Canis lupus familiaris: one gene and its partner. The protein of the gene in region 1 interacts with the protein of each later gene in a biochemical or structural test. Links are inferred from orthologs where the notes say so. Each region holds a gene or a part of one and is shown in the gene's direction. Other genes may lie near its edges. The genes, in order: SEC31A and SEC13.

Region 1 (10,465 bases):
AAACCTTATGATTACAGCTTAAGTTGAAAATAGGAAAAAAAATACAAATGTCCAATGATTAAACTTTTTCCACTGCTGTTCACATCATGATTTGTTGTGATTAATGTATGTGGATGAGGACATAATGGAAAAAGAAAATCATAGTGGGAGAAGAAAAGCACAGATGTAGTTTTTGTATGTTGATTTAATAATGTTTTTCCTTTTAGAAATGAAATTGAAGGGCGGTTTTCTTAACATCACGTGTCAGATTTGATAAACAGTGAACATTTTTATAGAAAGGTAAGAGGTTAATTTGATGAACAGAAAATCAGATCTTAGCAAACAGTTGATATTTGAGCATAATGTGAATATCGTACTCAATTTTTTTTTCCTTATGCTTTCAGCTTTCAAAGATGATATAATTTTCTAAATCAATAGATTTGATTCAGGGTAGGCAATTGGTAGCTGGGGTCAGGACTTGTAACCTTGATGGTCATCTTTTCTCAAAAATAATGATGTAATTCAGCCCCTGAAATAGATAGGGGCTATTAGAATATATGAAACTAGATATCATATATTCCAGGGTTTAAGTTTGCTTAACTTTTGGATGTTCTATAAATGACTCTTTAATATGCCAGTGAACATCCATCCTATAACTTAAGCTTTATTCAAGAATAGTAGATACGTACATAGGTAGTCAAAAGCTGGGAATCTCAAATCTAATACCACATTAATCTGTCACTAATTAGGCATGTTGTCTTGGGGTGTTACAAATTTGAGGAATATTAAATAGAAAAATTTTTACAACTACTCAATGTTGATTTAAATTCATTATTTCATAAATTTCTACCAACATAAAATTGATAAAAACTTTTTTTATAGGCCTTAATGAAAATATTTACAAATAAGTGCATTCAAAAACAAAATTAAAAAATTAATGGGATGGATGCTACTGTTACACAGAAGTAAACATAGTGCTGGCTCGTATGGAATAAGTTATATACACATACAGCCTTGTGCCTTGTGAGAATTGTAAAGTTTTATAATCTGGACAATATTAGATTTGTCCAGGACTTTACTCTTTTGCAGAACTCAAGATTATTGAAATGAGGAAAGGGGGCCTAAACTCTGAAAAGGATATCTTTGGACTGTCTGCAAATCCTAATATGAAGAATTTTGTATTACATTGTCTTCAAACATTTTTCCAGCTCCAATGAGTAATTCAGTTTTTGTTTTTTATCTATGGCTAGCTTTGGTTAGTAGTTAGATTGGATTAAAAGTTGGCTGTTCCGTGAACTAATACAAGTTCTTCTTTTTAAATACAGGTAGTCCTTACTTTGCACTGTTTCCAGTTACTTGAAGATCAGTTTTCACAGTTGAGTTAAATAACACCAATCCCTCTACAACATGATTGAAATTTCAGTTACCGCGATAGTAACCAGATTGTTGCATAAGTTTTGCAGATAGCTCTTTATTCCACAAAAGATTATGCATATAAAAGATGGTCAGTAAACACTTATGTCGCTTCTTTCAAAGTCTCTTGGTGGTTGATCACTGAACATCTAATAGTTCACACGCAGAGTAAAGCATGTAGTTATGTTGCCTACTTGTTTCCCAGTGATAAACCCATGTGACAGAATTGGTCAACAAAGATGACTGGGCAGCAAAGAAAAAGTTTTAACACCAGAAATGAAATTGGATGTCATTAGAAGATTTGAAAATGGTGACAGCATAGTGAAGACAAGATAAGACCTGGGCTTACATGAAGCTATAAAATGAACCATCTTTTTAAAGTTCGATGAAGCAAGAACTTTTAGGTAAAATGCTTTAAGATTTTTTAGTTTAAATTATACTAGGAACAGAAAGGCATGTATGGTTGAAATGGAATGTTTACTTCTCCTTTGGATTGAGGACTGTAAAAATAAATCCCAGTCAGTTTGGCTAGTATTCAGGCCAAAGTGTTGAGGTTAGTTGCTGCACTGAAGGAAAATGGTAACTACAAGTAGACTGAAAAAGAACATCTTATTGCCTTCTAATAATAAAGGCTGGTTTCATTGTTTACAAAGTCAGCATGAATTGATTAATGTTCTGCTATCTGGTGAAGCTGCAAGCTCAGAGAAGCATCTGTGAAATTTGCACCCATATTCCAAGAATCACAGGTAGTCTTTGCTTTGCACAGTAGTGCAAGACTACTATGTAAAAACTTCACAAGGTTTGGCTGGAATGCAGTTGGAGTTCTAGAAGATACAGATGACCATGGGAATGTTGACACTGCTGCCAATCAAGAAGTAGTTCTACATATACAGCCAGAAGAATTTAGTGAAGGCGAACATTGTTATAAATGACGAAAGCAGTTGTGTGTTGTAAAGGATCAATATGTTTCAGAGGAAGTGATGGCAGGTGAAAAACCACATTAAAGGAACACTCCTATTTGATGACATTGAATGCATAAATTTTAGAGGCAAATCCAAACTCAGTTGAAAGGAGTATGACAATTTGCCAAGGTGTAGAAAAGATGCTTGCTCCATATTGTAAGTTATATGAGAAGGCAAGCAATATTAAAACTATTCTTGAGACTTTAATAAATAAAATGCTATAATTTTCAATGTTTGTTTTAAATGTTTTAATTTTTATTTTTTAAAGATTTTATTTATTTATTCATGAGAGAGAGACATAGGGAGAGGGAAAAGCAGGCTCCCTGCAGGGAGCCCCATGTGGAACTGGATCTCTGGACCCCAGGATCATGCCCTGAGCCAAAGGCAGACACTCAACCACTGAGCCACTCCAGGTGTCCCTGTTTTAAATATTTTTAATGTGTATAACTAACATCAAGAGAGTTTTTAATGTTTTAATAACTTTCAGGTTTACAGAACAATCATTGTTAATCCCATTAACATTGCTTTTAAGTGTCAGTTTGCATAGTCCAAGTAAGAGCTCCCTGCATTTACACCAAGCTAGGAACTCTAACCAGTTATGAACAGATTAAGTCTAGACACAAATACACTTTACCTTTATGATCACCAGTTACAATGGACATTTTTCACAATGCCTTTGTATGCTACTATGTCAAGGCTTTGAAATTTATAGTACGGTCTCATTTGATTTTGAGTATTAAAGGATTGTAAGTAAAATCCTAATAGGAGTTGGCAAACTTAAAAGGCCATACAGGAAATACTTTAGGCTTTGCAGACTATTATAGTCTCTGTAGCAACTAGTCAACTTTGCCCATGTAGCAGGAAAACAGCCATTGACAATACATAAATCACTGAAAGTGGCTGTGTTCCAGTTATGAAACATTTCATGGAATACCATTCTTAACCTCACAGAGCCTACAAATGGGGATGGGGAGCAGGGAGGTTTGTAGTTTGACTTCTCTAATAGCAACATGTACATTAAATGATACCAAAGAATATAACTACTGCTTGAATCATTGCGTTTTGGTGAAGTTTTTCAAATGAAAACTTTCTCCATACCAATGTATGCTTCTGGGTAGTAGGGGGTCTCTGGAGGTTGGGGCAGTAGGGAGTTTAGTATTGACAAATAATGAGACCACTTTTATTTTTTATAAAGACTATTTATTCATAGAGACAGAGAAAGAGAGGCAGGCTCCATGCAGGGAGCCCGACGTGGGACTCGATCCCAAGTCTCCAAGATCAGGCCCTGGGCCAAAGGTGGCGCTAAAACCACTGCGCCACTGGGGCTGCCCATGAGCCCACTTTTAAGACTTTTTTATTGGTATCTCTAGGCAAACTTGCAGTTAAATAAAAATGGCTTTGTAGAACAGGAGAAATTAGCTACTGTAGCCTAAGTGATGTTTAGTCTATTAATTGTCCTAGAGAAATAAACTTGGCTTTTCAAATTGAACAAGTATAAGACATTAAAAGGTGTTCAAAAAAATGTAGTGGGAGTGCAAACATTCTAATAGTTAGAAGTGAAGGCGCTTTAGAGAAAGCTTGAGGAAAGAGACCTTGATGGGCGTAATAATGGGAAGAGAATTGCTCTAGCAGGAAGACCCGGGTTCAATCCAAGTTCTGATCGTTTACCAAGTGTTTTTCCTCTGGTTTTCCCTTCTTTGCTGCAAAACAATTCCTAAACCAAGAACAACATCCAAGCAATAGATTAATTAGATGCCAGGGTCTGGCAGAGCTAGTGGAGTGCCAGTGACGTACGGGCAAACCTTCGTAGATCTCAAACCGTGCCACACGATGCTAAACTAACCGGGCCACGCCTCTGGAGGAACAAATACGTCCACAACAGACTGACGAGCCCATTTGGCTTTAAAGAAGTTCTCAAAAAAAAAGCAATAATACTGTAGAACCAACTATGCAATTTTAAAAAGCGAATCGCAAATTAGTTACTGCAATTAGGGCCCCGCAGCCCGATTTTCACGCGATTTGTCCGGTGCTGGCAGGGTCGCCGGGTCGCCGGCCGCCGCCGTCTCACAGGACTAGCGCTACGTGGCGTTCTGCGGGCCCGGGCCGTTCTTCAGCCGACCGCTACACCCGGCCAGACTTTTGTTTCTCGCCTACCCCGGTCACCGCACCCTGGCCGTGCACGCCGTCCCTCAGAGCAGGTCTCCAGGCCCCGCCGCGAGCCGGCCCGCCGCCGGCCTTCAGCGCGCACCCAGGCCCGGGACGCCGCCTGCGCCGCTCCCGGAAGTGCCGTGGCAGGCGGCGCGCCTCAGTGGGCCGGGCGAGGCGTCGCTCCCGGAAGCGGCCGGCCGGCTGGGAGGGGCTGCGGCTGCCACGTTGAAGCGGAACGTGGAGGTGGCCCTGGGGCGGGAGGAGGGGCGGCGGCGAATGCTGGGAGAGTCCGACGGACGTCGCGCTAACACAGGAACCGGTCGCCGAGGGTCCCCGCCAGGTGTGTCCGCCTCCCCCCCCCCCCCCCCGTCTTCTTCGCCGGCCCTCGGGCCGTGAGGTAGAGCACCGGCGAAAGCTGGGTGCGCGGCATCGGCCGCCGCGGGTCCCCGCCAGCCTGAGGCCCGGTCTGCGGTGGCGGCGCGCCCCTGGTCTTGGTTTCGGGCCCGTCGGGACAAGCCTGGCGTCACGGCTGCTGCGGGGATCGCGCCGATCCACGTCCGCCAACGTTTCCCCTGCTGAGCAGGAGCTCCCCTGAGGCTTGCGACGGGGGGTCGTGCCGGGCGGGTAACTGGGGTCCGAGGTTAGAAGCCCCTCGCACTCACACCCTTGTGCACAAAGAGGTGCGGGCCCCGAGGCGGAGGGAAGGACGCGAGCCTCGGGATCACTTTGGTTGACTTTATTTAGTTTATGATTTTTTGTTTGTATTTGAACTGTTGCCAGATAAAAGGGTTCATAGGTTTTCAACGGAAGGCTACTGGCATTGAACCGGGATTGGATTATTTTAAGGATAGTCGCCAACCTAAGCCTATATACACCTCGAAGGAAATCTCATTAAGTGTTGTATGTTTTTGCTAATAAGTTATTGTAATGAGAGATTAAATTACAGGGCAGGTGGAAAACGAATAAAAATATGGCATGGGCTTGTGGGCATTATGAACTTTACCAAGCAACTAATTTTATGTAGGTCTTTGTGAAACTGCAGTGATGATCTGTGCTAAATCCTCTCCCCAAAACTGCCTTTTCTAACTACAGAATGCTGAAATTTGACTGTCGCCACTTGTAGCTGTTCAGTAGATAATTAGAGCCTCGCTCTTCTCATACCGACCCTTGTTTTCTGTACATACTGATTGTTCTGGGATTGGCTAAAGTTTACTCACAGGTTTCTAGTGGTTCCTCTGTGCTCTTTGTTTCTTACTGTTTCTTAAACAGCTCTGGGAAAGGTTTGTAGACTAAGAATTTTTGGGTAACTTGAAGTGTTTTTGTAGTTGTGAATTTATGTTATACATGTCCAAAGTTATTTGGGGAATGTGAGATTGGAATGAATTTAGAATTAGACTGCTTAATTTTATATAAGCAGGTTCTTTTTGAAACAATAATATATAATTTATAATAATAACATAAAAGTAGAAAGAAATTAGAAAGAGCAGTGATTCTTGACTTTTTGGAATTCCACTCCCTTTTTAGGATCTGATGAAAGCATTGGATCACCTTCCTAGAAAAATGCACACACACACAGAATTCTCTATATAATTTCATGAGGTTTACAGATCCCAAATTAATTCTTGTCAGGTGATATTATTAAAATTGATTTTTACAGTGTTTTCAGAAATGTTGTCATTCTTAGGTTAATTTCAGGTCAAAAAGTTTTACTTCTTAGATTCTAGATAAATACACCAGCATTTAGTTCAACGCAGTTAGTTCTTTGATTTGATTTTGGTTGAGTGAGATGAGTCTAGAACATCAGTAACAGTAAATAAATACTCTAGAACAAATGTGCCCATCCATGATAAGATACTTGCCCACACAAGATGGATTTTTACCAAATGCAGTGCCAACTAGGGATTTTTTGAGAGTCAGAGTTTGCAATTCTATTAACTCTTCCACTTTTTACTTTCTGAGTTATGAGTCATCTCTATATGTAGCAGTGTAAGTTTGGTATTTTTCAGACAATAGAACTGTTAGGTTTTAGTACTGCTTTACAGAATTAGCAGTTAAAAAACGAGCAAAAAGGAAAAAGCTTCCACTTAATAGCATGCATTTAACTACATGCATGTTGTGGGGAGAAACTTGGGTGAAAAAATAAGTTCTAGACTGGCAAATAAGTTTTCTTCAATAGATGTATTTTTTTTTTAAAAAAAGATTTATTTATTTATTTGAGAGAGAAAGAACACAGAGCAAGCAGTGGAGGAGGAGCAGAGGGAGAGAGAGAATCCCAAGCCACCTCCCCACTCAGCATTGAGCCCTATGTGGGGCTTGATCTCAAGAGATCAAGACCTGAACCAAAACCAAGAGTTGGACACTAACCGACTGAGCCACCCAGGTGCCCCTTCAGTAGAGGTATTCTTGGAGATTCATTGTGATAAACTAAAATTTTAAATTGTGACTTTTGCCATAGCTGATATTTACAAGCATGTATTTACTATGTGCCAGCTACTGTTCTAAGCCCTCTGCGTAATGCCTCATTTAATTCTCACAACTCTTTTTTTTTTTTTTTAAGATTTTATTTATTTATTCATGTCAGAGAGAGGCAGAGACACAGGCAGAGGGAGAAGCAGGCTCCCAGCAAGGAGCCCTATGTGGGACTTGATCCCATGACTCTGGGATCATGCCCTGAGTGGAAGGCAGACACTCAGCCACTGAGCCACCCAGGCGTCCCACAGCAACTCTTCTTATGCAGACTTTTGTTATACTTATTTTACCAAGTGGGTAGCCAAGACACACATAGGTAAAGATACATGCCTTTTAGAGCATATCAGAGCTAGGACAAGGTGGAGCTGGGATTTAAACTGAGGGTATGGCTCCAGACTCCATATCCTAGATTGCTGTGCTATAAATATTGTCTTGTAGATGACATGTGAACAAGCCACTGTCCTAGCAGTTTTATTTTTGTGTTATCATAATGATTTTGTTCTGTGTAAAATAGTCTTAAATAAGTCTGCATAGTGTAAATTCTAATCATATATGATATTGAAAAAAATTGCACAAGGCTTTTGAAGCATGTCATACTTGGGAAGTACACATGGTTTAATCTAAACCTTCAGATTTTCAAGAAAATTAGTTACAACTAAATGATCATTTCTAAGAGAATACACAGGCGGTATTTCCATAGTATTCTTAGTGTTTTGAGAATGATTGCAATGGACAAAATTACTACTCTTTAATTAAATTCAGACCACTTAACATAGCTCCAGGCCATTATTGTAGTGATTTTAAACAACAACAACAACAACAGTTGGTATTGAAGTCTTATGTTCAGTACAACTTAATAAGTGCAACTGCATTTAGTGGAACATTGAGTGCTAAGGACAAGAAATAAGACTTTTATAAATGTTTTGTATTCCCACTTAACCATTTTATGTACTTGTGAATTTGTCTCTCTCTCTTTCAGTAAATGTTACACATTAACTAAGTGTTCATGAATTAGGTAACCTTTAATGTACCTTTGCTCTTAGATATAGTATAGTTCTGTTCAGTTGGGTTTTTTAAAAATATATATAGATATTTTGTTTTCACTTTTAGAAATTATTCTAAAGCATTTTTTTCTAAAGCATTTTTTTAAAACCTCTTTTTCCTTTAATGATACTTTCCCCTATTTTTTAAATAAGAAAACTTAAAGTGATTAAAATTATTTTTCCTTTAAACACTTAAGAATTAAAAAATTAAATGTTTTACCTGAAAGTGATCTTTCCAGCTCATCAGTCTTTTTATATTTCCCTAAATATAAACATTCAAAATAAAACAAGCAAAACTTTTTCTATACCTTACTGTGAGCTAAGCAATTTTGATTCCACAAAGGGTAAAAGTTGTAATATTTAATTGAAAAAAAGACATTAGGGACGCCTGGGTGGCTCAGTGGTTGAGCGTCTGCCTTTGGCTCAGGGCGTGATCCTCAGTCCGAGGTTGGAGTCCCCCATCAGGCTCTCTGCGAGGAGTCTGCTTCTCTCACTGCTTGTGTTTCTGCCTCTCTCTCTCTCTCTCTCTCTCTCTCTCTCATGAATAAATAAATAATCCTTAAAATAAAAAAAGGACATTATTTGTCAAGTTAATGAGACGATGACATAAAACAGGTGGTTATAAAAAGGCAATGGAAAAATATGTAACAGTGTGTACTAATAGAATGTTATAAAGTTTTGTTAAATTAGAATAAGACACTTTATTATAAAATATTTAAAGTGGTCCAAACAGTTAAGAGATAATTTAGATCATTGTGGATTGGATCATTAGGGTACTTCTCTGAAAGTAGCTGGAATTTGAACTTCTTAATAAAAATAGTTGGCTGAGAAAAGAGAGCATTTCATTTAAAGGCTTTTTCGCTTCTTAGAAAATTGAGATTTTCCCTCTTTTTTCAGAACAGCCTTAGGAAACTAGATGTGTAGTTTTCTTGATTAATCTCATGCTTGTAATAATTTTAAAAAATAGCATATTAAAGCCCATGTTAACCTATGTGCTGGACACTGAGTTTGGCCCTATATAAAATACATTATCTCATTTAAACTTCAGAACATCCCATGAGGTAGTGACTCTTATCTTCATTTTACAAATGGGACTTAGGGAGGTTAAACAATGTGTCTAGTGTATCATAATAAGTAGCAGAGCCAATATTCAGATCCAGCATTGACTCCAGAGGCCTATTACTTTTAACCACATGATCGAACCTCCTTAATCCACTTTTGCCTAACCTAGCACAGTTTCTAAAATACATTTCTTCTTTTTAAAGATTTCATTTATTTATTTGAGAGAGAGAGAGAGAGAGCGCATGAGCAGAGGGAGAGGGAGAAGCAGACTCCTGGCTGAATGGGAGCCAAACAGATGTGGGGTGGGGCTCCATCCCAATCATGACCTGAGCCCAAGGCAGATGCATAACTGAAAGAACCACCCAGGTGCCCCCATTTCTTCTTCTCTTAGTGTCCCCATGAATCCTAGTTGCTTTGTTATTATTTCTTCTAAATGTTAGGATGTGTTCTATGATTAAAATACCTGAATTTGTTGGGGTAACAAGAGATTAGACTCTGAAAGTAAACTTCTGAGTTCAAATCTTGGCTCTGGGGGCAGCCCAGGTGGCTCAGTGGTTTAGCGCCTGCCTTCAGCCCAGAGCGTGATCCTGGAGTCCCGGAATCGAGTCCCATGTCAGGTTCCCTGCATGGAGCCTGCTCCTCTGCCTGTGTCTCTGCCTCTCTCCCTCTCTCTCTCTCCCTCTCTCTCTCTCTCTTTCTCTCTCTCTGTCTCTCATGAATAAATAAATAAAATCTTTAAAAACAAAACAGGGGCAGCCCTGGTGGCTCAGCGGTTTGGTGCCACCTTCTGCCCAGGGTATGATCCTGGAGTCCCGGAATCGAGTCCCATGTCAGGTTCCCTGCATGGAGCCTGCTCCTCTGCCTGTGTCTCTGCCTCTCTCCCTCTCTCTCTCTCCCTCTCTCTCTCTCTCTCTCTTTCTCTCTCTCTGTCTCTCATGAATAAATAAATAAAATCTTTAAAAACAAAACAGGGGCAGCCCTGGTGGCTCAGCGGTTTGGTGCCGCCTTCTGCCCAGGGTATGATCCTGGAGACCTGGAATCGAGTCCCATGTCGAGCACCCTGCATGTAACCTGCTTCTCCCTCTGCCTGTGTCTCTGCCTTTCTCTCTCTCTGTATCTCTTATGAATAAATAAATAAGATATTTAAAAAAAATAAAAATAAAAACAAAACAAATCTTGGCTCTGCCCCTCGCTAGCATGTACAAATTATTAATCTTTCTGTGCCTTCATTTTTATTATCTCAAGTATAAACAATTGGAACATGTAAAGCATAGGGCATATTAGACTTAAATAAACTTACATTAGATATACATAGACTTAAGGCTTTCTTAAGGAAGCTATTGGAACATGACCTTCATCCTCTAGAGATGAGTAAGAAAGCTGGCAAAA
Region 2 (9,732 bases), on another chromosome or scaffold:
GTATTTTCAGGTCCTTTGCCCATTTTTAATCAGATTATTTATTTGGGGGTTGAGCTGCAGTTGTTCTTCAGGGTAATGTTGGCAATAAACTTGGAAGAATTCATTCCTTTTTTAGTTTTGGAATAGTTTGAGAAGGCAGATACTCATTCTTTAAATGTTTGGTAGAGAGTCACTGGACTGAATCAGTGGAGCATGCAACTCCTGATCTCAGAGTTGTGAGTTTGAGCACCACATTGGGTATAGAGATTACTTAAAATCTTTTTTAAAATAAATGTATGATAGACTTCACCTGTGAAGCCATTTAGTCCTGGACTTTTGTTGGAAGTCTTTTGATTACCAATTCAATTTTTTTTCTGCCTTTTCTTTTTCCCCCAATTTCATTACTAGTAATCAGTCTATTCAGATTTTGTTTCTTCTTCATTCAGTCTTGGAACGTTGTATGTTTCTAGGAGTTACCCATTTCTAGGTGGCTCAGTTTGTTGGCATGTAACTTGTCATAGTAATCTTGTAATCCTGTATATTTCTGTGGTGTAAGTTGTAATTTCTCCTTTTTCATTTCTCATTTATTTTTTTTTTATTTTTTACTTTTTTTACTTTTTTTTAATTTTTTTTTTCATTTCTCATTTTATTTGAGTCCTATCTTGAGTCTGGCCAGAGATTTACCAATTTTTTTTATCTTTTGGAAGAAACCACTCTTTCACTGATCTTTTCTGTTGTTTTCATCTCTATTTTATTTCCTTTCTGATCTGTATTGTTTCCTTCTACTACTCTTGGGCTTGTTTTGTTCTTCTAGTTCCTTTAGGTGAAAGGTTTAGATTAAGATTTTTCTTCTTTCTCACGGTAGACTATCACAATAAATTCTCCTCTTAGAATTCGTTTTGCTGCATCTCAAAGATTGTGAACCTTTATGTTTCCATTTTCATTTTTCTCTTTATTCCTTTGATTTTTTTCATTGATCTGTTGGTTGTTTAGTTTCCATGTGTTTATATTTATTCATTTTTTTTAATTAATCCCTTTATCATTATGTAATGCCCTTTTTTGTCTCTTGTTGCAGTCTTTGTTTTAAAGTTTGTTCTCAGGGCGCCTGGGTGGCTCAGCCATTTAAGCATCCAACCCTTGATCAGCTTGAGATCTATTCTGACCTGAGCATTGCTACTCCAGCTTTTTTTCCCCCTCCATTTGCATGGAATATCTTCTTCCAGTTCTTTCAGTTTGCCCTTATGTGTCATTAGGTGTGAAGTGAATCTCTTTTAGGTGGCAGGTAGATGGGTCTTGTTTTTTCATCCATTCACCCTTTGTCTTTTGATTAGAGCATTTAGACCATTTACATTTAAAGTAATTATTGATAGGTATGTACTTATTGCCATTCTTATTAATTGTTCTCTGTTTTATAGTTTCTTTGTTTCTTCCTTTAAAAAAAAAAAAGATTTTATTTATTTATTGATGAGAGACACAGGCAGAAGGAGAAGCAGGCTCCACGCGGGAAGCCTGATGTGGGACTCAATCCTGGGACCCTGGGATCATGCCCTGAGCCGAAGGCAGGCATACAACTGCTGAGCCACCCAGGTGCCCCCGTTTATGTTCCTTTCTTGGTCTGCTTAGATTCCTTTCTCATCTTTTGTGTATCTACTGTAGGCATTTGCTTTATGGTTACCATGAGGCTGATATTTATTTATAATATATAACAGTCTATTTGAAGTTGGCAAGAACTTATGCATGAATGCATTTTTACTCTCCACCCATATTTTATGTTTCTGAGGTCAAATTTTGCATCTTTTTATCTTGCATATCCCTTAACTAATTATTATAGTCGTAGTTATTTTTACTACTTTTGTCTTTTAATCTTCATATTAGCTTTATTTGTGATTAGGCCAGTACTTTTACTACATATTTACCTTAACTGGTGAGTTTTCTACTTTCATATGTTTTCCTGTTATTAATAAGCACCTTTTCTTTTCAACTTAAAGAATACCCTTTATCATTTCCCTTTTTTTCCCCAAAGATTATTTGAAAAAGAGAGAACAGAGATAAAGCACAGATTGGGGGGGAAGGGCAGAGGGAGAGGGAGAAGCAGACTCTCCACTGAGCAGAGAGCCCAACGTAGGGCTTGATCCCAGGACCCTGAGATCATGACCTGAGCTAAAGGCAAATGCTTAACCAACTGAATGCCATCCAGACACCACCTGCTTTCACATTTCTTGTAAAGCAAGCTTAGTGGTCATGAGTTCCATTCATTATTTGCTTGTTTGGAAAGCTCTCCTTCAATTCTGAATAACTTCCGTGGGTAGAGTACTCTTGGTTGGAAGTTTTTTTCTTTCATCACTTTGAGACATGTTTTTTATCTTGATTATAGTGGTAATTTTACAGGGTATACCAATGCCAGAGCTCATTAGATTGTGCGGTTTATGAGCAATGAATGTCAATAATACCTCAAAGCTGTTCTTAAAATTTTATTTTGGAGTAGAAAGAAACAGACTGTTACTGCTATGCAAGAACTCAAAAACTATTGTTTCCATGAGCACTTTCTGAGGTATCTACTAGAGAATAAGCTTCAGACAACAAAAATGACTAGAAAGACATCAAATATAGTTAACTGTAGAGAACTAAGACTAAATGAGGGTTATAAGGCAGAGTATAGCTATATGCTCTGTTAAGGTATCAGGCAGCTGTTTAAAAAGTGGGCATGGGGCTTTGGGTGGTTCACTTGGTTAAGGGTTAGACTCTTGATTTCAGCTTTTTTAGGTCATGATCTCAGGGTGGTAAGATCAAGCCCTGCATCAGGCTCTGTGCTCAGCAGAGTATGTTTGAAGTTCTCTCTCTCCCTCTCCCCCTCGCCCCACTTGCATGCTCTCTCTCAATAAATAAATCTTTTTTTTTTTTTTTTTTCTTTAAAGTGGGCACATGCAGAGCTGGAGATCTAGGATCTTTTAATGTTGGTAACCATACACTAAACACCCTGCTCCTTCCCAAAAAAAAAAAAAAAAAAAAAAAACCTATGGCAGAGAATGGGGAGAACACTGCAAACATTTTTTTAAATGTTTAGACTTATTGTATTGGCAGTAACTGAGACTGTTGAATATGAAATGAGATAAAATAATTATGTGGCAGTGAGCATCCCTAGCACCAGATTATAGTCTTGAAATATAGTTCCTCACTAAAAGAAACCCTAATTCTTGAGGAACTGGCTGATCTTAGGTCTGAGGCAGGAAATGTATGAAATAAGCCTGGGACATTTTGTGATACCTCTAACAGAAATGATCAAAGACATATTTTGATATAGTTAAGTCAGAGGAGCCAATTTGAACACGTACTACAGTTAGGTGTCAAAAATAAGAATAATTGCAGTGAACTGAAACCCATCAAATATGCTTAAAACCATGAGTTTATAAAGAGAATCAGGGTGGCTCAGTCATCTGCCTCCATCTCAGGTCATGATCCCAGGGTCTTGGGATCCCAGAGCAGCAGGTCTCACATCAGGCTTCCTGCTTCCTGCCTACCACACTTCCTGCTTGTTCTCTTGTTCATTTTCTCAAACAAAATATTTTTAAAAATAAAAAATAATAGAATCATTCATCCTTGAAGAATGTGTCAAACATTTATCCTACATTTCCAATCTGATCTGTACCCATGGGGAGCCAAATATGAATGAGGGAGATCTCCCCTGTCTAGATTATTCTATATAATAAATAACAAAGAAATGAATATAATATCACCATTTTGTAATGTCCAATGAATTAAAAGAGGCATAAATTGTTCATAGGTACTAATACCATAAAAAGACAACCTGATGTCATTTGTCTCCCAATGTAAGAATAATTTACTGCCTGTAGTGTTTTTTTAATATTTTTAGAAGATTTTATGTATTTATTCATGAGAGAGGCAGAGACACCGGCAGAGGGGAGAAGCAGGCCCCGCACAGGGAGCCTTATACGATCGATCGATCAATCGAGGAACTCTGGGATCACACCCTGAGCCAAAGGCTGAGGCTCAGCCACTGAGCCACCCAGGCATCCTACTGCCTGCAGTCTTAACAAAGGAGTCAAACTTGACTCTGACCCAGTCTGCGATCCAGCTGACAATTTTTAGGAATTCAGAGGTCTGAGTGTGAAATAGCAAATCAGCCTGAGAGTCTATAAGTCAGATGACTGGTCTTTCTTCAACAAAAAAATGGTAAGGAAAAAAAAAGATTAGGGGGAATCTATAAATAAGGAGATGTAAAAAAAATTTTTCAATAAAAAATTGGGGATCCCTGGGTGGCTCAGCGGTTTGGCGCCTGCCTTCAGCCCAGGTCGTGATCCTGGAGACCTGGGATCGAGTCCCGCGTAGGCCTCCCTGCATGGAGCCTGCCTCTCCCTCTGCCTGTGTCTCTGCCTCTTTGTCTCTCTGTGTCTCTCATTAATAAATAAATAAATAAAATCTTTAAAATAAAATTAAATTAAAAAATTTAAATGGTGAGACAGTATAGTATCTAGGGATGCATATTTGGGTGACAAAACTGAAGGGGAAAAAAAAGGAAGAAATCAGAAGTCAGGAAAATGTTGCCAAGGAAGAATGGCTATGACTCAGGTGGGACATAATGACAGGGCTTCCAGGGTAAATGGCAATTTGATATCTTGAACTGGTAGTGGTTACAAGAGTGCTTTAGAGTAGTACTTCATTAAACTTTGCATGTTTTTCTGAACCTGTGCTTTCTGTTCCTATATTTTTTTAATGTTCTGTTTCTTTAAAAATTCCTGGGGAGTCCCTAACTCCTACTTTAAATGTATATTGCTGAAAAATACATGTACTGGGATCCCTGGGTGGCGCAGCGGTTTGGCGCCTGTCTTTGGCCCAGGGCGCGATCCTGGAGATCCGGGATCGAATCCCACCTCGGGCTCCCGGTGCATGGAGCCTGCTTCTCCCTCTGCCTGTGTCTCTGCCTCCCTCTCTCTCTCTCTGTGACTATCATAAATAAATAAAAATTAAAAAAAAAATACATGTACTGTTAGGACTCCTTGAAGGAGCATTATGGGGGCTAATCCTTAACAAAACAAAACAGTGGTCCTGCATAATCCTGTCCTGAGAATTGGAGGGGGATACACTGCAGCTTTGAGTCTGCAGAAGCAGGGCTTTGCTGCAGGGCTAAAGGGCAGTCACCCCAACCCTTTCCTCACAGATTGGCTGCAACGCCGTCAGTTGGGCCCCTGCTGTTGTACCTGGAAGCCTTATAGACCAGCCATCGGGACAGAAGCCCAACTACATCAAGAAGTTTGCTTCGGGTGGCTGTGACAACCTCATCAAACTGTGGAAGTAAGTGGGTGTGGTGGACTTCCCTCAAGGGGACACTTCTTACCTTCTACCCTGCTATCTACTGTGACTCAGCCACAGTTCTGAAGAAATGGGATCCCCTTCTTTTCCCCTCCTGCCTACAGAATACGGTTTTCAGTCTGTCAGAGGACATCCTTTAAAAACAACTTGGCCTTGCTCAAGTACTTTAATTCTTTACCTGATTCCCAATTCTTGGAGCCATTGGCTGTGGACAAACAGCATTTCGTGGAATATTCTTCTATAGCTGATGAACTGAGTAAAAATCTACAAGGTCAAGGAATGAAATCAAAAAGATGGAATAGCTTCTTGGCCCCTGCAGAGCCTACAGGGTGGGGGTACAATGGAGGTGTGGGAAACACACCTGGGCTGCTACCTGCTGCTGCATTTTCCCTTTCTGTCTCCTCTGTTAGGGAGGAGGAGGATGGCCAGTGGAAGGAGGAACAGAAACTAGAAGCGCACAGTGACTGGGTTCGAGATGTGGCCTGGGCCCCCTCCATTGGCTTGCCTACCAGCACCATCGCCAGTTGCTCCCAGGTCAGCTCAGATCCATGAGAGCTTCCCGTGTTGTTTAATCTCTGAGTAAGTCCCATCGACCATTACAGTCCCCCTAAGGTAAAGTCTAAAAAGGTAAGGGCAAGGCAACAGGCACCTCTGGACTAGTGCAAGTAGGACAGTGCTAGGAGCCAGGTCATCTTGTGGAGAAGGCTTGATCAGAAGGCACAAGTGGCTTACCTCCACTGAGCTATGAGTTGGGCCAACTCCAGACCAGTTTCCCCTCAGCATTATGCAGCTGGTGAAGAGAGCTGCCCAGGTGCATTCTGAGAGTGTTCCCAAGCAGGGACCAGGATAGTTGGAAGTCCTAGGATCTTGGGCTCACCTAGATCAGTCTTCACAGACAGATCACAAAGGAAAAACCAAGGACAAGCCTTAAATTATATGCTAACTCCACCATAGACAAAGGTTAGCCAGGCTTCACTTGAGCCTGTTATGTTTGGTTCTAAATTTGAGGACTTTTTAAACTTGTCCCTTCTCATTCTCTGAGCTTGGTTTATAGACAGCCATACCCCTTGGGTTGAGAAAATTAGAGCCAAAGGCAAAACGAGATGATTTGGCAGACATGAGGAAAACCTAGAGAACATTTTAGAGTTAGCCATATAAAGTTCATACCTGAAACCAGTATGAGCACAAGAACCTGGGAGACACAACCAATGTAAAATATGTTCCTGGGGTAAAGGGATAATGCTGGGCTGGAAATTGGCCATCACATCTGTGCACACCCAGGACGGTCTTGGCTGTGCATTGTGCTAAATCCCACCTCATTCCTGCAAAAGTCCAATATGGCTCTAAATAGAGAGGATATCCCCAGTTCAAGATCCTTGCCTTACCTTCCCTGATTCTAACCTGTCTTTTCCCAGGACGGTCGTGTGTTCATCTGGACTTGTGATGACACCTCAGGCAATACATGGTCACCCAAACTGTTGCACAAGTTCAATGATGTTGTGTGGCATGTGAGCTGGTCTATCACAGCCAACATCCTGGCTGTCTCGGGCGGAGACAATAAGGTACAGTCCATTTCCATGACATGGTGGTCAGGGCTTTGTTTGTCTTCACCCACTAAAAAGTGCAGTTGAATTCTCCATATAAGGTTAGGCTTCGAAGGAGCCTTAATGAAGACTGTTTTGAGCACATCTCTTAAATATATCATTAAATCTTACAATCCCCTGCCCTTCCCCCCTCCACCTACTGTCCCGAGGTGGTTTGTCCCCCCCTTTTGCAAATATGAAAGAAGCTGACAGTGGTAGTTAGACTTGCAGAGGGGCCACAAAGCTATTAGGTGGAAGAGTTTGTAATCAGGCCCAAGTTAAATCCAAACCCACTGCCCTGGTAGTCCATCACTGTCACCATTTTACCACCTTGTCTTCATGATGACATTCAGTTAGCACTGCTCAAAAGTTAATAGATTAAAAAAAAATCTCATAAACAAAAGCATAAAGATTGAAGGTTTTTGTCAGACACCAAAGAGGCATATTTCTAAAAATCTGTGTAATTCATGGGTATTATTATTCACCCACTGTATGTATACCTTTTCTGCACTATGAGCCGTACAAAGGAAGAGAGACATGGAGACAAAGTGGCCACTGGAAAACAGTAAAACAAAAAGTAGCTCAGGAACATTATAGCAACAAAGCAAATGCACTTGAAAAATTCTGACCACTTCATTGAACCCTGCCGTATAAAGTTACAGATCTTCTGCCTAAGAGGAGAGGGGTCAGCTAGAGAGATGGCAGTGACTTGTTACCTCTTCCTTTCTGAAGGCAGCTTTTTTAATCATGACCAAATACGTATAAAGTTTCCCCATCTTAGCCATTTTTAAGTGTATAGTTCAGTAGTTTGGAGAACATTCACATTATTGTGCAGCCATCACCTACCATCCACCTCTAAACTGTTCGTCTTTCCCAGCTGAAACTCTGTCCTCACTGGACACTAACCCCCACCCACCCCTATCCCTGGTAAGCACCATTCCTACTTCATGCCTCTGTTAATTTGCCCTAGGGACCTCCTGTAAGTGGAATCCTATAGTGTTCTCATCTTTGTTGTACCACGTGTCTGTTTCAAGACTGAATCATACTCTGTTCTGCCACATTGTATTTATCCATACATACATAGAGGGACCCTGGGGTGCTTCACCTTTGGCTCTTATCAGTAATGCTGTGCACATGGGTGTACAAGTAACACACCTTTGAGATCCTCTGCAGGCAGTTTTTATCCAGGCTGGGGATACCTTTCATGTGTAGTGATTCCAGAAAGATCTAGCAGGCCCTGTCTTAAAGCCATAGAATTTTAGAGCTAGAGTGACCCTCAAAGAAAACTAGCCCTCTTTTTATTTCTAGTAAGTGCCTGAGCCAGGACTAGACCCCAGATTTGATGGCACCCAGAACAGGCCAACAGACCCTGACTTGACTGAGGAGCAGCCCTACTGTAGTGTTTACAAGGCAGTAGGGAGTGCCTGGTTGTACTTTCCGTGTTTGCAGTCTGCTATCATTATTCTTTTGCACTTCTTGATCTTTATCAGCCTATTTCCTACAAGGAGCTCACCTCTATTGTTTGCATAGTATTTATTCCTTCACTAAAGGACTTGGTAGATTTTCAGTCTAGAGCATTCTGTGCAGTGCATCTGTAGTCAACAATCTGTCTCTAAAGCAGAAATTCTTGGGCAGCCCCGGTTGCTCAGCGGTTTAGTGCCACCTTCAGCCAAGGGCCTGATCCTGGAGACCTGGGATTGAGTCTCATGTCAGGCTCACTGCATGGAGCCTGCTTCTCCCTCTGCCTGTGTCTCTGCCTCTCTCTGTGTGTCTCTCATGAATAAATAAATCTTTTTTAAAATAAATAAATAAAGCAGAAATTCTTAAAATTTTTTTTTAATCAAATACATGTACATAGCTTAAGTAGTTTTTATTAGGTTATGATTTATTAATGTAGTTTCCTAATTTTCATTCTCCAGGAGCAAACCTTTTCGATGCTTAGCATTTCTTCTGCTGCTTATTTCAGTGTAGAAATAACATACTCATCTGTCATCTTCCTCTAGCATACTTCTCAGACTTTAGTATTAAACTTGTTAAAACATAGATTGCCAAGCCCACCCCAGAGCTTCTGAATTTCAGCTGGGTGAGGACCCAAGAATTTGTGGTTTTCACAAGTTCTTGGTCCTGCAGATGTCTTGGTCTAGAGACCACGCTTTGAGAACCATTGTTCTCTTCCCCTGTATCCTCACAGAAGTTACAGCAACTTGGTTAAAACGACATTCCTGTTCACATTATTATTTATTACTACTATTACTGTTACTTTGTGTTACAGAATTATTTCCAACACTGCCCCCTCTCCACTGTTTTTATTTTTTAAAATATTCTTTTTCCAGTTTTATTGAAATATAATAGACTTACATCATAAGTTGAAAGTGTATAGCATAATGGTTTGACCTACATATACTGTGAAATGATCACAGTAAGTTTAGCATCCATCATTTCATATAGGTACAATAAAAGAGAAAGCAAAAAAGTTTTTCCTTGTGATGAGAACTCCTCTCATCTCACAGTATTTAGTCTCTCACAGTTTTCATATAGACCGTATAGTGGTGTGAGCTATTGTCATTACATCCCTAGTACTTCCATGTCTTAGGACTCCAAGTGTGTACCTCTTGACCCTCCACCCCCAGCTCTGCTAACTACAAATCTGAACTCTTCTGTGATTGGTTTTGGATCTTTTATGAGTGTTTTCGGTTTTGTTTTTAGACTCTACATATAAATGAGATATATAGTGTTGATCTTTCTCTTATTTCATTTAGCATAATGCCCTCAAAGTCCACGCATGTGGGCACCCTGGGTGACTCAGTGGTTTAGCGCCACCTTCAGCCCGGGGCGTGATCCT

Evidence for each region.
Region 2: the proteins of SEC31A (region 1) and SEC13 form a complex in vitro, tested with the Homo sapiens proteins (2 studies listed by BioGRID and IntAct, with this or other methods). The link is inferred for Canis lupus familiaris from reciprocal best matches to the Homo sapiens genes SEC31A and SEC13.

The regions. Positions count from the first base shown.
Region 1 is NC_049253.1:33,159,703-33,170,167, forward strand, and holds the start of SEC31A (protein transport protein Sec31A), read left to right. Parts: upstream 1-4,697; 5' UTR 4,698-4,842; intron 4,843-10,465. UniProt on the Homo sapiens protein: Component of the coat protein complex II (COPII) which promotes the formation of transport vesicles from the endoplasmic reticulum (ER).
Region 2 is NC_049241.1:8,129,296-8,139,027, forward strand, and holds part of SEC13 (protein SEC13 homolog), read left to right. Parts: intron 1-5,155; coding exon 5,156-5,289; intron 5,290-5,717; coding exon 5,718-5,841; intron 5,842-6,722; coding exon 6,723-6,869; intron 6,870-9,732. UniProt on the Homo sapiens protein: Functions as a component of the nuclear pore complex (NPC) and the COPII coat. At the endoplasmic reticulum, SEC13 is involved in the biogenesis of COPII-coated vesicles.